2 linked regions of the Xenopus tropicalis genome follow. The protein of the gene in region 1 binds, or shares a complex with, the protein of each later gene. Links are inferred from orthologs where the notes say so. Each region holds a gene or a part of one and is shown in the gene's direction. Other genes may lie near its edges.

Region 1 (8,420 bases):
CAGATTAAATTCTCATTGGAGACATTTTTTGCATGAATTAGGTCACTGATTCTGGGGGTTTTAAAAACCAACAATGTTGCCGTAATTATTTGTTTCAAGGACCACTGATGCCCAAGTTACTGAGAGATCCGTTCTTTGTGTGACATGGTTAACCTTTCCTCCACCAATAATGTGAGGGCCCACGTAAGAGAGTCCAATGTAACACATGCTCTACTGGGACTCCAGGGAGTTGTTACTTGCCAAGTCCAAGTTGGGTAAGGATAAGGATGGTCCTAACTATGAAGGAGTGAGCCATGCTTTTCAAAAGAAATCCAAACTTAGATGATTTTCTGCACAGATTGTATTGAATATAAGTAAATCTTGCTTTAAGCATCAATTTCCTTACAGTTTGCCAAAGAACTTTAAGAAGTGTTATGCTTTTCTTGCAGTAAGGAAATGTTGCCATGGAATTGTATTGTTTCCTTTTCTCAATTGAACTATAATACACTGAAATGAAGTAGTGTTTTTCTTTCATGCCTCTACTGCATATGAGCGAGAAAATGTTCTTGCCTGATTAAATTGGGCTTTCACCAGGCGAAGTCGTTTAAAACAAAGCTTTAAATGCTTCTCACAAATGACTACATTTAAAATAATGCATCCCAGAGGCAGCCGAAAAGATACGCTCACAAATTGCAATTTCAATTACTCTTCCATTCCATAATAACATAATACATCTGAATCAAACCCCTAGTAAAGTATGAATGCGCGGTTATTGTGCTGCTTCACCGGGGCTTTAAAAAACCCAAGGGGAGGCATTATGTGTTTTGTTTTTACTATATGGTGAGACACTCAGCATTAATCACACTAGATACAGATTCAGGAAGACTGAGCGCTTACAGTGAACAATGTAAATGGACTTAATGATGATACCACAATGGGTCTATGCTATGCAAACATCTTTTTTCCTCTGTAATGTTGTTGTGCATCCCCTTCCCATAGATCCCTTATAGGCAGGCTTAGGCATTGCTGTAGATATGGATTCTGGAAGATTAGCGATTAGTGAAGATTAGTAAACAAAGAGCAACTTGATGATGATACCACAATGGGTCTATGATATGCAGGCATTATTTTTCCTGTTCAACGACAAACTCAAGATCTTGGCACACACACACTATACCCTTGTTACCAGTGCCACATTGTCAAGGATTTTCTTTGTCCAGAATTTCCTGGGCTACAAATCTTAGCATACTCCTACATATTACCATAGGTTAAACCACATCATCAAAAATTTACCATTCCTTTCTCATATCATGTAAGCTCCTTCCACTTGCTGAGCTCTGTATTCATTTTCTTACTTTTCTAATGCCTGATAATTCCCAGCCCCATATCTTGTGACTCATGTTCACTTCTCCTGATAGATTGTAAGCCAAGGGGCAGGGCCATGTTTACCTTTTGTATTGGTCAAAATTTGTATGTAATCTGTATGTTTGGTACATTTAATATTTTATTGTACAACACTGTGGAATATGTTGGTGCTGTATAAATACTTGTTATTCGCCGACAGCATATGCATATGTGCACTTGCTTTTGTCTACATATGTGCGTGAGTGTATGTGTATGTGTATACACACGCATGTGTGTGTGACATTTAAAGGGACACTAAACCCTGCTGTACTGCACTGCTCAACCAAACTTTACTCGGCTGTTGCTGGACTACAAATCCCAGAATAATGTAACATTTAATGAAGGCTGAGACATGCTGGGAGCTGTAGTCCAGGAACATCAGGGTTGTATTCTTAAAGCAATATTGCACAATAAAACTTTTCCTAAACTTTCCCCGAAATCTCCAGGGCCAGGGACTGCATTAAAATGCAAGAAATGAGAATCCCAGCTGATCAGTGTAAATCTGACACCATGTTCTCTGTTCCAGCAATTGGAGTTGGAAAAAATTACATAATTATCTCTATATGTAAGATAACAGCAAGATGCCTGACACAGTGCTGGGAATCCGCATTCTCATTGGTCAGTTATTTTGCATTTATAATGAAGTTTTTGATAGTAGAATTCTCACTGGTGAATTTTCTTGCAGCTATAATTACGTTTTTTGGCAACTTTTATAGCAAAACTAGGGGGCGCAGTGGGACAGTGTTATGGTAAAATGGTTACAATTCTGCCACAATCAGGCTGCTATGACGCATTAGTATTTCATTTCTCTTTTTGTAGGCTGATTTATTTATTCTCAGTTCTAAATAAATATATATACTCCTACAATTTTTGTTTGTTTAGGAAACAAGAAAGAGCAAAGAAGTAACATTCTCGTGCAGCAGTAGCAGCAGCCATGCAGCGGAGCAAAGATCCCAGTTTACAGCTGCAAATGCAGAACAGGTATGCATCAATGCAATATGTACAGGTATCTATTGAAATAAAAGAAGCACCGCACATCAGTTGGCCTTCTGATATTAAGTTAGTCAACTTGTTCCCATTTACATGGAGCATCCCACCCTGCTGTGCCATTAGCAAAAGCATAGTACCTCAGAGCCGCTGCTCCAATAAGAACCACAAGGGGGCAGTGTCAAAAACATCCCATAGGTAGATCGGTGTTGGGATCTGACCTGCTTTTTGATAAAACACACAAGGCCAGAGGGAAGTCAGCTGCTACATACGAATGAAGCTCTGTAAACACTGCCTTCTTCATGAATAGAGGTGATTACAGTCCTCCCTGTTCTGAGAAGCATACAGAGTCCAAGTTAATAAATGATGCTGCAATGAGCACCAATGAGCCTTATTGAACTGCTTCCTAACCTTGGAGCTCTATCTTTCTATAGCGCATATTGATTGTATTGCTTGGTTGTATTAACTACTTCTTTGTCTTTACCAATGCCTGGTCATTAAGAGTGCACCTTTCCCCCCACTCGCCCCATCTGATAATATCTTTCCATCCAATTACCATCCCTCCTGTCAATAACCCCCCCCCCCTCCCTCCAAATCACTCAGATCTATTTCTCTAGCTGTAATAGATCTTAGTAACATGTACCGGCCCAGAGGCCTTTATTCTTTTTACAGTATGCCATGATCTTTATCATGATGGTTTATCTACTGAATAATTAAAGGAACAGTAACACCAAAAAATGAAAGCGTTTTAACGTAATTTAAATATAATGTACTGTTGCCCTGCACTGGTAAAACTGTTTGGTTTTTTTTATACAGAAACACTACTATAATTTATATAAATTAGCTTTTGTGTAGCTATAGGGGCAGCCATTCAAGCTGGAAAAAAAGGCACAGGTTACATAGTAGGTAACAGATAAGCATTGTAGAATATAATAGGGCTTTATCTGTTTTCTGTTAAGTAACCTGTGCCTTTTTTCCTTTTAATGGCTGCCCCCGTGGCTACAGCAGCATTGTTTATATAAACTATAGTAGTCTTTCAAACACACCAGTTCAGGACAACAGTTCATTATATCATAATCACTTTTATTCGCTTTCAATTTTTGGTGTTACTGTTCCTTTAACTCCTGTATGGAAGCACCTGCTCTTAGTTTACTCTGTGTCTCTCCTTTCAAGTGATTACTTTATTTTCGCTAATTATTTGTATGTACTTGTTCTAAGAAACTCTAGGAAAACATATTCTGAATCTAGACTTTTAGTAAAATTCCTTTCCAGATGTTTACTGAAGCTTAGAGTCTGCTAATAAAGCTATTTTTTTTTTTTTTTTTAAATGCCATCATTTACTTTACTTAGGTTTCTGTGCATCAGCAACATACCCATGAGACAAGCACAGCATCTAATTATAATCAAGAAGATGATGAAGTAGGTAAGAATTCTGCTTTGGATTTGGTTGGAAAGGCTACATGACTGAAAGCACTGGAGTAGAAAATTTAGATCTGAAATTTAACATGTGAGCGTACTAGTGATCAAAAAACCATTTTATTTTATATGTACGCTCAAACTCTTGCTATGGGAATATAATTTCCAGGGTCGTTGTGCTACAAGCAGGTATGTACAGTATGTAATACAGCAATTATGATTTGGCTACATGGGCCAATTCTAGCTACTGATATTGGCCTCTTAGACCAATTCGGCAGCTTATCAGCCCATGTATGGGCACTAACGATGGGCCTGCCCAACCAACATCTGGCCTGAAATTGGCCAGATCTTAATCAGGCAGGTTTGATTTTTTTTGTCAGATCATGGACAGCATCGGTTCGTTGATGCGCTCCCCAAACTGACAGGTGCCTATACTTGCCATCTTAATTTGATTGTTTGGACCCAGGGCCAAACGACCAAGTTAGCCTGATATTGCCCATCCATACGTGGAGATATGGGGAGAAGATCCGCTCGCTTGGCGACCTCTTCAAGCGAGTGGATCTTAGCGTGTATGGCCACCTTTACTCTGGAACCTCTGGGTGGAGACCTCAAATTCAATAAATACAAACTTAAAATAATTCTTCCAGTAGCAGAAGAAGCCTCTGTAGGATCAACAAAACCAAGGAGGTGTCTGTAGGTTGATCCAAAAAGTCAACGAGAAGGCCACCACCAAGACAAACAGCACGCAACAATTTTTATGAAGTTTAGATCACCTTTTGTATGGCTGTGGCACCTACACAATTCTGATCCTTGTGCCATAGCCCTGTGTTTCTGGAAAATAGGTTAGATGCCAGGGAAGGCTTTTTGTGGAAAAGATAGAAATCCCAGGAAACCCACTGACCAGCAAAGTGGCAATATCTATAGCTGTTAAGTAGAAAAGCACCCTACATATTTTTTAACCCTGCAATTACATCTTTCTTGGAAAGGAATTGCATAGCATGACCGTCTTGAACGTAAAAAAAACAAAAAAACTTTTCTATGCTTATTGTGAAATATTCTTTTTCTCTTGCCCAGAGTGAGAGAAGACTAAGCCGTCTATTATCTTAGCAACAATCTAAGCTTCACTTTTCTTCTTTCTTTTTTATATACAATTATGAAGAACTACCAAAGATTTCAACACAAGTTCTCAAAGAACAATTTGAAAAATCTCTTAAGGAGAAAGGAGCCAAGACTCATTCAAGCGCTGTTTCTCAACCAAAGCATTCAAAGGTATTTATGTCTTATTGTAATAAGTATATACAATGGAGTCTTTTAGAAGTAGAACTAAAAACTCAATAGCCCTTGTTTAGCAGCTAAAGAACAAAGGATCTCACTAGGGGTAATAATTTGTTAGGGTAGTGGCACGCAGCGTGTTTAGTTGCCCGCTGTTAAATCTCAGCTACTGTGGGTAACTAATCTCCCCAAAATGCCTCTCCACTGACATGCCATATGGGGAGATTAGTCGCCTGTGGTAGCCGAGATTTAACCATGGGTAACTAATCTCCCCATGTGCCACTACTCTTAGACACCAACCCAAATCTTCTGCCCTAGGCCAGTGCACTTGTTCTATCAAAAAATGCCCCCTCTCCAGCCAAGCTCCTAGGACTGGTGTATATTTTAGGAAATTGGCACTGGACTATTTGTAATTATTAACTACTTTTTAAAAGGTCATATTACCAATTTTATTTTTCACTGCTTATAATATTATCCCTGCACTATAATGCTGAGAAAAGTAATAGAACTAATATTTCCTTTAATAAAAAATTAAAAAAATTTTTTGTCTGTCTATTTGAAATCAAAGCATACCGCTATTATCAAGTATAATTTACATCATTTTCAGACTCTCTGGTGTCTTAAGGGTCTAACACCCCCCTGGTTAAGAGTCTGGTATACAAATTAAAATTGGCAAACAAACAAATAGTTACCATGGAATATAATGTCAACAAATTCATAAAGGGGATGTGAGCAGCTATAGATGTGCCTTTAAAAGAGGAGATTTTAAATTAGCACATATAATTTATAAACAATATAAAAATATAAGGCATTTTCGTGTTATAAACTGCAATATCCAACATCTTTCAAGTCCACAGGATTCTGAGGGTTATAGTCTTCAATTTTGGGGGTCAGGCACATGAGTCCGATGTTTCTGTTTTAGAACATGATTTTAGTCCATGCAAATGAAAATTGTGTATCTTATTCCCTAAAGATCTATAATGAGCATCCAGAATTTGAGTGGCCAGTGGTAACTACCATCCATAGCAACTCAGCAAATAGAGTCCAAAATGCAGTGACTGAGGAGACAAGCGTGCATACTACATCCTCTGATAATGTTGCTTCAGCTTCATTTGGAAGTTTAGAAGAGTTTCCACCTCCACCTCCTCCAAATATTTTAGAGACAGAGGAATTGGCAGATTTTTCCCAGTCCCCAGAGCCCCCCAGCTATGCAGAACAGCAACCATGTGCCATGTCCAAAGAATTATACGCCAAGCAAAGGAATCTCTATGAGTTAAAACGTTTATACAAACATATTCATCCAGAACTTAGAAAGAACTTACAAAAGGAGTTTTATAGTGAAGTTTCTGACATTGTTGCCAATAAAGTTGAACAACTTGGTGAGGCTAAAGGAGATGTACAACAAGTCAAGTATGCATTTGAAAATCCAGTGGGTAGTCCTCAAAAGTGCATTAGCCCAGAGAGAGAATATCTGGAATGGGATGAAATTCTGAAAGGTGAAGTGCAATCAATGAGATGGGTCTTTGAAAACCAACCTTTAGATTCAATCAAAGATGAATCCCCAGAGCCAAGCCATATCAAACGTATTGGAGAGCAAGAGATCATTGCAGGAGGAGATGTCAAATATGCAACATGGATGTTTGAGACAAAACCAATTGATGCTTTGGGTGTGGACATTTCCACTGCTACTGAGAATATAGAAAAAGTCCCTGATCTTGCAAGGGGTGATGTGCGGACAGCTACCTGGTTGTTTGAAACCCAGCCACTAGATTGTTTGAATAAAATTTATAAGGAGGACGACTTATCTAACACATTGGAAACCACTGAAGAAATTAAAGGAGGCGATGTAAAATTAGGAAAGCATTTATTTGAATCTACTTTTCAAAATGAAATCAGTTCACTGAGACTAAGCTCAGAACTTGAGGAGTTAAAAGGTGATGTTAAAACAACAATAAAGCAGTTTGAAACTGAACCTAAATATGTCTTAAAGGATAGTTCTGGAAAAATGCTAGAAATTAAAACTATTCGGAGAGAAGATGTAGAGAAAGGAGATGTGAAAACAGCAAGATGGATGTTTGAAACTCAGCCTTTAGATACAATCAACCAGGATGAAGTAGAAGTTAAAGTTGTTCGGGGCATATCACTGGAAGAAAACCTTACAGGGGGTGTAGGAAAAGCAAAGTGGCTATTTGAAACTCAAGCTCTGGATACAATTAAAGAAGTAGAAAGCTCTGTCACAGAAAAAGAAACCATAATTGGTTCTGATGTGTATCAAAAATGTTGGGTCTTTGAAACTATTCCCATGGACATGCTTAAAGATAATGCCAATGAAAGGCCTATGCAAGGAGAAGAGATAATAGGAGGGGATGTAAGTAATACTAAATATTTGTTTGAAACAGTGCCAATGGATGAACTTAAGGAAAGTGTTGAGGTGGGCAAACTGAAACCAATAGTTACCATGGAAGATGAAAAAGGTGATGTACGCCATCAAAGATGGGTTTTTGAAACAAAATCACTTGGAGAGATAGGAGAAGACCACAAAGAACATGTCCGAACTGTCCAACTTGATGAAATTCATAAAGGAGATGTGATCAGCTGTAAAAATGCATTCGAGAAAGGAGATCTTACAAAAAGCGAATTAACATATAAAATTGCAGTTGAAGATGTTGACAAGGGTGCAGTAAAGCTTAATAAAAAACTTTTTGAAACAACTCCACTCTATGCAATTCAGGATCGTTTTGGCCATTTTCATGAAGTCCAAACAATCCGTAAGGAAGATATTGTAAGAGGTGATGTACAGAGCTGCCAGTGGATGTTTGAAACTATACCCATTGACCAATTTCGAGAAAGAAGTGTTGAGAATTATCAGATTATCAAAGGTATATCTTCCGAGCAAATACAATCTGGTGATGTTAAAACGGGTAAATGGCTTTTTGAAACACAGCCTCTGGATTCTATTAAATATTTTAGTAACGCAGAGGATGAAGAAATAATCACAGAAAACCAAACTGAAATTGTTAAAGGAGATGTCAAGATGTGCAAATGGCTATTTGAAACTCAACAAATGGAAGATCTCTATGAAAAACAAGATAAGATATCAGCCGATGTAGACATTCAAAGGGGAGATGTTAAAACCTGCACATGGCTTTTTGAAACACAACCTCTAGATTCGATACACGATGAATCAGAAAAAACAGAGACTACAAACCAAAAGAATATTCAAGGCAGAGATGTACAAAGAGTATGCTTTCTTTTTGAGACAGAAAATTTAGACAACATACAAGAAGAAGGGAAAAGGGACTTCAAAAGAGTTGTTGAAATTGACATACAGTCAGGTGACGTATCCTCTATGAAGTATATTT
Region 2 (8,420 bases), on another chromosome or scaffold:
CACTGCAAGGAGCCCCACACAACACAGAAACCCCTAATATACCTATCGCTGTAATCTGTTCCTTCAAAAAGTATGAACATATACCATTTTATATGCTGAAATCCAACTGCAAAACAGTTCTTCTCTTTATACATCATTTGAAATCCTGGCAGGGGAGGAGGGACTAAAACATTGATGTTACAAATTGTAATAACTTGACCACAACTTACAGACAGCATGCAAGAACTACATAACCCACAATGCATTGCACTTAGATGTTACTTTCCTTATTGACATCTTGTGTGCAGGGAATTGTGGGATTAGGAGGATGCAGGCTGAGGACAGTCAACTATTATTACATTTTTTTTTTGAGTCATAAAGTAGTCAGCAGGTCAGCAGGGAAACAGGTGGCCATTCTTTGGGAACTGTTCCAAACCATACGATTACATTAAAAATCATGAAGAGGTTGCATATTTTTAATTGATGTATATTGTAAAGGTGCTTGAAATTATGTTTACTTTTCAAAAAGCATAAGTTGGGTTTGGGTGGAGTTCCCCTTTAAGTGCCTAAATGTCTAAAGTCCTGAGTCTCATTGAATCATTTTTCTTGTGACTTTGAATTTGCTACTTATCCTTTAAGTGCCTTAGTCACCAGTCTTTCATTGTAAGCTTAATGGGACAGAGACTCATTACACTTGAAACATTCTATAGTAAGAACAATACAGAGAAACCTACATTTTACATACCCTGACTTTAGGTTTTCCCATGGTCCCATTAATATATAATGCATGGCACATTTTTTCTGGTCCCCTGAAAAATATAATATAATAATAATAATAATATAATGTCTGTGTCTTATAGAACATGTACAAGAAGAAATTTGAGGAACAGAAGGGAATCTATCATTTTGCGTTGGATACAGCAGAGCAGATTCATCACAAAGAGAATGCTGTGCTGCAAAGCCAGGTAAGAAATATAATGCAGAGCTATTTAGTGGGAATTCCTAATAGCTCAAGTCCAGTTTAAGACGACTGAGAAAAGAGCATGTACTTCACCCATAACTAACACCTAATGCATAGTTTTAGAAGAGGGCATCTACTTAGGCACATAGCCTTATAGAGGGCCCTATGGAAAGCAAATGTGCAGGTTAAAAGTACAAAATACACCTTACTGGCTCGCTGTAAAGAAAATAACACCATTAAATATTAAAACATAGCATTACTAAAGATTCAAAGGGAAAACATTATTAGCATTAGAAAAACAAACTATTTATACATATTGGCTGCTCTTCCGTGTCCTGGCTGCCGTTCAACATCGATCCCACTTTTGGTAAAACTCTTAAAAGGGAAGTGGAGATTAGGGACATGGGGCCTTCCAGCTGAAGAGGGCCTCTTAAACAAAAGCTCCATATGATATAGTGGATGGCAACAGTTCTGTCTCTAGTCTCAGTAGTCTCTAAAGGGCAAGGACACCCCAGACCAGATGGTCAAACCTTTCCCTTGTGTCTTTGTAAGACATATAATGCTGCACCTTGGGACCAAGATCTCTTTGGCTGCTTACATTCTTGGGCTCCCCAGCCAGGCTGACCCCAGCAGCTTTGGTCCTCTCATCAGGGTCACTTTCCTCAGTAGCTTCCATGTGCACATCTGGCTGATTAGACACATGAGGTACTTTGGCCTAAATTAGCTAAAAGGCTCATGGGGTCCACTTTTGGTCCCTCTCCACTACTTTTGTGAACTCCTCCGCTGTTCCTGGCCCATCCTTGGCCTCCAGCAGCTCCATTCCAGCAGAGAAGACCCTGATCTAGAACCTCCCTAGAGGAATGCCCTACCTAACATCTATGGCTGTAACTAAAAATAACAGTAATTTCAATAAAAACATTTTCCCACTCCTTACATCAGGGAAATCCAAACTCCAGCTCCCCAGAACTACTACTTACAGCAGTCTCCTGACTGTCAAGAACTATCTAGGGTTAATGCAAATGACAAGAGATTCTTTTGGCACTAGGTCTTTTTTTTCCTGTAGCTCTGGCTTTGTACAAATCAAATTCTTGTACTAAAATGTACTTTGATTGATTAATGACCATTTTGCAGGTTAAATACAAGGAGGAATATGAGAAGTCTAAGGGAAGGTCATTGCTTGAATTTGTTGATACTCCATCATATCAAGTTTCAAAGGAGGCTCAGAAGATACAGAGTGAGGTTAGTGAACTTGTGCAATTAATTCAAACTTTGTTTGTTGTTTTTTCTTGCACTATGCAGGGTAAGAATTGAACTGAACTGTAATAGTCATTCCTACTAACAAGCAGGCAGACATTTCATGTCCTGTCTGGAATAAACTCGTCAGCTTACTATCAATAATTTATAATGGAGAGTAAATCATAGACAATGAAAGCAATGTAATGTAATTTGCTGCCATGAGTTACTGCATAGGTGGAAATTTACCAAGTGTTTATAAATAAACAACAATATATTTCACAAAAAAAGGAAAATACAATACTGGTTTCAAAGGATTTAAAAAAACAAAAAACAAAACATTTTAAATGTTTTACAAGGATTTTAAGAATGGGGCTAGAGACTCAAAGAAAAAAAGAGATTGAGCAGTGTCCCATGGCCAATAATAATAATTAGTGATGTGCAAATATGTCCCTTTCCGCTTCACAAAAAAAATTTGCAAAACCGTCGAAAAATTAACGAAATGTTGAAAATCTTCAAAACACTTTGATATCAATGGGAATTTTTTTTTTCTGCTGCAACTGTCTTGCAGCAGGACTACTTTTCCTATGCACAATACATTATCGCAGCAACTATTTCCCCACAGCAACGTTTTACGTGCAAAATATATTGGACACCAAGATTTTCATGGCAATTTTTTTCAGTGGTTTCACCTATGGCATTCAGAATTTCGCTGCAAATCCATACATACCAAAAATTTAGATCATCGCCAATAAAAAATGATTCATATGTATTAAAAAATAAGGGTTTTTATTTCTGCATTTCTGGTCAGAAGATTGCCAGGCCACCATAAACACGTCAAGGTGGCTCTGTCTAATTAACGCTGGTCAGGTTGCATTTTATTAGCAAAAAGAGTCTTCCATACCAACATACAGTCTAAACAAAAGCGTGGTTTTCTGGTCTTTTCTAGAAAGAATATAGAAAAGATCTGGAAGAAGGGATAAAAGGAAAAGGTCTTACAGTCTTAGAAGACACCCCCGATTTAATAAGGGTGAAGAATGCTGCTCAGATATTGAATGAGGTATGAACAGTGAGTGTGCCCAATATGTGAGTGTTATCATTTATTTCCACATAATTTGTATTGTGTTTGTCTGTTGTAGAAAGAGTACCGCAAGGACCTTGAGAATGATATTAAAGGAAAAGGCATGGAATTTAGTGCCGACATCCCAGATATGATCAGGGCAAAAAGGGCATCAGAAATAGCCAGCCAGGTAATCTTAAAATAAACTAGATTTACCAGTCAAGACTACCTAGGCAATGTTTTTTAAATATTGATCTTTGATCTCTTAACACCTATCTTTTGTCCTCATAAAAGTTTCTGCGAGAAAGGATAGATCAACCAATAGTAAACTATTTATTATTACTTTTGCATATATTGGAAAAAAGGTATTTTCTGCTCTCTGTACAGAAAGAATACACAAAGGATTATGAAACCGAAATTAAGGGAAAAGGGATGATAATAGGGACTGATATACCCGAGATACAACGAGTCAAGAGGGTAACTGAAATGGTGAGCCAGGTTGGTACAGACCCTGGATTTGTTTGATGTATTAATATTGATTTCAAGTTGTTAAAAATATGTATTTAGATCAATAAATATTTTTACCCTTATAAAACATTGTATTATTTAGAACCTAAGGTTTACGATATAATTATTTATCCCTATATTTAGCATTATAGGGATTGTTTACCTTTAAATTCACTTTTAGTGTCAGTGTGACATCGCCATTGATATTCTGAGACAATCTGCAATTTATTATCATTTTTATTTGTTTGTGCTTTTTCAGTTATTTAGCTGTTTGTTCAGCAGCCCTCCAGTTTGGAATTTTATTAGCTATCTAGTTGCTAGGGTCTTGTTTACCTTAGCAACAAGACAGTGGTGTGAATAGGAGGGTGAACTGGAAGAAAAGGAATAAAATGTAACAATAATAATAATAATAATATTTTTAACTCATAGTTTTTGGGATGCCTGGGTCAGTGACCCCCATTTGAAGGCTGGAAAGAGGCAGAAGAGTAAAGGTGGCCATACACGCTAAGATACACTTGGCAACCTTGCCAAGCGAGCAGATCTTCCCCCAATACCCCCACCTATGGGTGGGCGATATTGGGCTAATTCGGTCGTTTGGCCTTGGGGTCCCCAATCCGACTAAAATTCAAACCTGCCCAATTGATATCTGGCCGATTTCAGGTCGGGGAGGCCTGTCGTTTGTGCCCCTACACAGGCCGATTTGGTCTAAGGGACCAATATCGTCAGCTAGAATCGGCCCGTGTATGGCCACCTTAAGGCAGATAATTTATAAACTATTTAAAAATAAATAGTGAGACCAACTGCAAAGTTGCTAGGGATAAGACTTTCTATCAGGGGCGGGCCAAGCCGACTGGGTGCCCTTGGCCACCTCTCCTCGCTTCCCCCCCCCACCCCCGCTGCGTGTGCTTTGGCACGCATGCGCAGTCGCGCAAGGGGGGGCAAGTTGGGGTGGTGTCGCGATGAATCATTGCACCCACCGAGTAATGACAAGTGGCGAGGGCAATGACTAAAGAAAACGTACTAGAGGTAGGCAGGAGAGGCTTCTGTCTGGCGCCCCCCAATTGTGCCCTAGACAGCTGCCTCTTCTGCCTACCCCTAGTTCCGGCGCTGCTTTCTATAACCTACTAAAAGTGAATTTAAATGTGAAACTGTAAATGCACTGTAAAATATTTAAAAAAAGCTTTCAGTGCAAGACTTAAACTTTCTTCTTGTGATTGCAAACAGAAAGGATACAAAAAAGACTTGGAATCAGAAATTAAGGGAAAGGGAATGCAAATAGGGGCTGACATGCCTGAAATACAGCGGGTCAAGAGGGTATCGGAAATCGTAAGCCAGGTTGGTACACACCTATGTCACAGAGTTCCTTGGCATAAACTAATGTGTAAATTGCATTTTTCTGTTTTTTTTTCATTTGTTTTATAAATACTAAAAAAATTTGGAAAACATTTAGAGGTCAGAATATTCCACCGATCCATGCAGATATGCAACCAAACTAAAATAATAATAATAATAGTAATATCCCCCTGGCTGAAGAATAAAAGATTAATGAGGTTTAGGAGAAATGAAAACAAAAACAGGTTGCAATGTGAAAAGACAACAGTAACAGTAAATTAAAGATCATGGCATAAAAACAGTGAGCTGGGGAGGTTGGGCAATGGCCAGGTAAGATATGAGAAAGTGGAACCATTGTAAAGAAGAGCTGGGGAGGTTGGGCAATGGCCAGGTGAGATATGAGAAAGTGGAACCATTGTAAAGAAAGCAATAAAAAGTGAATTGGGTGCATAGTATTAACAGGCGAAGAGAAGGAATATGAAAAAGTGAGAGGAATAGTTCATGTGGAAATCTAAAGAGGGACACAGAATGCACAAGAAAGAGAGGGAACATGGAAATATACTAAAGAAAGGACAATAGGAGAAAACATTTTAAAAACCAGAGATTCACTCTTAAAGTTATCAGGAGCAAATTTTTGCTGTCCCTGGTTACTTTGGGGGCACTGCTGTCTGAGGGTAGTTTCTCAGCTCGCCTCATGCTAGCAGTGCCCCTGCATACACTGGGGAAGTTCCGAATTACGGAAAGGCCTTCTCCCATAGACTCCATTGTAAGCAAATTATTTTAATTTTATAAAATGATTTCCTTTTTCTCTGTAATAATAAAACAGTACCTGTACTTGATCCAAACTGAGATATAAATAATCCTTATTGGGGGCAGAACAGCCCTATTGGATTTATTTAATGGTTAAATGATTCCCTTTTCTCTGTAATAATAAAACAGTACCTGTACTTGATCCAAACTGAGATATAAATAATCCTTATTGGGGGCAAAACAATCCTATTGGGTTTATTCAATATTTAAATGATAAATTACGGAAAGATCCCTTATCCGGAAAACCCCAGGTCCCAAGCATTCTGGATAACAGGTCCAATACCTGCATATTAAAATAATTATGTTTTTCAGGCACCTGCACTAAGAGAATAAAAGGGTTATGAAATGTAAAATACATGAAATAGTTGGCATACTTCCATTGGTAAAGTAAATTTACTTTTTGTGTTCTCAAACAGAAAGAATATACAAAAGATTTGGAAAGAGAAATTAGGGGGAAAGGGATGCAAGTAGGGACTGATATACCTGAGATACAGCGAGTCAAGAGGGTCTCTGAAATGGTGAGCCAGGTTGGTACAGACCATCAGGTTTATTACAGATGCATTTCCATTTTAAGTTAAAGCCGAATTCATTTATTCACTGCTTTAATAATTTTAGTTGTATTTAATTTCTCAGAAAAGTTTAAAGGGGACCTGTCTCCCAGACATAAAAGTATTTAAAAATCAGAGCTGTCATATATTGCCTGAGACACAGAGGCGGGGCAGTAAATTACCTTCACTTTCCACTCAGCATTGTAGATTGCACTCCTCACTTTCCCATCCCTTCTCACAGTCTATATTTGCGTAGTCTTTGCATGGCCATGGACATTAGGTCCCCCATTCTGGCACAAGATTTTAGGGTGAGACAAAACATGCCTTAATAACAATGCCCACAAAATGGCGCCTGTCTGTTTGCTGTGATTTCCAAGACTGAAGGAAACAAAATGTAAATACATTATACAGTATAAGTAATGTTTATTTTGCTCAACTAACATGATAGAAAAGAATATGTAATTATTTGTTAGGGTGACAGGTCCCCTTTAAATTATCCATTTACAAACTGATATTGAAAGCTAATCCTTATATTTTTTTACTTTGTCTCTTCTTTCACCTACCCCTAGTTCAGGGCCCTTTCCCCCACCGCATCACCCCCCTCCAGCAGCACCGGCAACCCCACCCCATGTGCGTGCATCTGTGCACATCTGTTTTGACATTAAACCTGACTGCACCCCAAAGTATGCTGCACTTCCTATATTAAATTACACCCTGTTGTATTTACTGATTTTCTCTTTGTTTTGCCTGCATTTTATCTGATTTTCAGATGATGATTTCTTCTATGTACTAGTAATTCCCATAAAATACTATGTTTCCCATGGAAGTGAATAGTAGTTGGAAATGGCAGGTTTGGGTGCTTTTTTCCAGCTGAAAAACGATGGTGGGGTTCCAATGTTCTGTAATATCAAAGAACAATTGCTTGTCCACTACTCATTTCTTGATTTATCTATTCAAACCCAATGCTTAAAAGCTATATAGTGGGATAAACTGTACAATTCTAGAACCTTATCTCATAACAAAATGTGTGCTTTCAGTAATGGGCTAAATAAAATGAGAGTTAGCACAACGAAGCACACCACTTTCCTGCCTGAATGCTGGAGAACTAGCGGAGGTGCCCAAGTGACTAGCTATATATTAATTCTCTAAAAAGAGGGCACAGAATCAAATTATTTCTGTATCCAGTACACCATTTACATTTTTTTGTGTTATTTTTTACAGAAGGAATATAAGAAAGACTTAGAAACTGAGATCAAAGGGAAAGGAATGCAGGTTGGTCCAGATATTCCAGACCTGCAGAGAGCTATGAAAGCCTCTGAGATTGCGAGTCAGGTCAGTATAAAGCTGGTGTTTGACTGCATAGATATCTGTTACAATGTTGACCTTTAATTTAACTATTAGTAGGTTATAGAATGTCCTATTCCTAGCAACTTCATTATTTGCCACCTTTTTCCAGCATTCACTGCCAAGATCACTGTATTGCTCTGAGCATACAATTTTATTGTAATTGTTACTTATTACTAAAATTTCTATTCAGTGCCCTTACTTTAGTTATTCTAGACTTTCACTCAAACCTCTGGGAAAATAAGACCCTAGCAACCAGATAGCTGCTGAAATACCAAACTGGAAAACTATTGAACAAATAGCTAAATAACGAAAAAAATAACATACAAATTTGCATTTTCTCAGAATGTCAGTCTACATCATCTTGAAAGTTATCCCAAAGGTAACGTCCCCTTTCAACAAATTTCTGACTGTCATAGACATAGCAAATGTAATAACATTATATATGTAATTGAAATCCTTTGGGTTTGATGGATCTAGTCTAGGTTTCCATTCAAACTAATTACAGGCTACTTGGCAGAATCTCTCTGCCAGCTGAAAATCAATGGTAAGGAAATATGTCCAGCGATCTGCAGGATATTCTGATTTAAATTTTGCTCATTGCCCTGTTCTTCAGAAAGTGTTCTATTTGTCACCTGCATCTTTT

The links. The genes of interacting proteins can lie anywhere in the genome.
Region 2: the proteins of xirp2 (region 1) and nebl are in contact, whole or in part, in a crystal structure (PDB 4F14), measured with the Homo sapiens proteins. The link is inferred for Xenopus tropicalis from reciprocal best matches to the Homo sapiens genes XIRP2 and NEBL. Residues at the interface, in NP_689594.4 of Homo sapiens: Pro2420, Pro2421, Pro2422, Thr2423, Leu2424, Pro2425, Lys2426, Pro2427; in NP_006384.1 of Homo sapiens: Tyr963, Asp964, Tyr965, Asp969, Asp971, Glu972, Ile987, Asp988, Asp989, Gly990, Trp991, Met1004, Pro1006, Asn1008, Tyr1009.

What each region holds. Positions count from the first base shown.
Region 1 is NC_030685.2:69,627,810-69,636,229, reverse strand, and holds part of xirp2 (xin actin-binding repeat-containing protein 2), read left to right. Parts: intron 1-2,265; coding exon 2,266-2,364; intron 2,365-3,720; coding exon 3,721-3,793; intron 3,794-4,945; coding exon 4,946-5,055; intron 5,056-6,031; coding exon 6,032-8,420.
Region 2 is NC_030682.2:27,396,358-27,404,777, forward strand, and holds part of nebl (nebulette), read left to right. Parts: intron 1-839; coding exon 840-944; intron 945-2,071; coding exon 2,072-2,179; intron 2,180-3,122; coding exon 3,123-3,233; intron 3,234-3,312; coding exon 3,313-3,423; intron 3,424-3,620; coding exon 3,621-3,731; intron 3,732-4,964; coding exon 4,965-5,075; intron 5,076-6,298; coding exon 6,299-6,409; intron 6,410-7,651; coding exon 7,652-7,762; intron 7,763-8,420. UniProt on the Homo sapiens protein: Binds to actin and plays an important role in the assembly of the Z-disk. May functionally link sarcomeric actin to the desmin intermediate filaments in the heart muscle sarcomeres.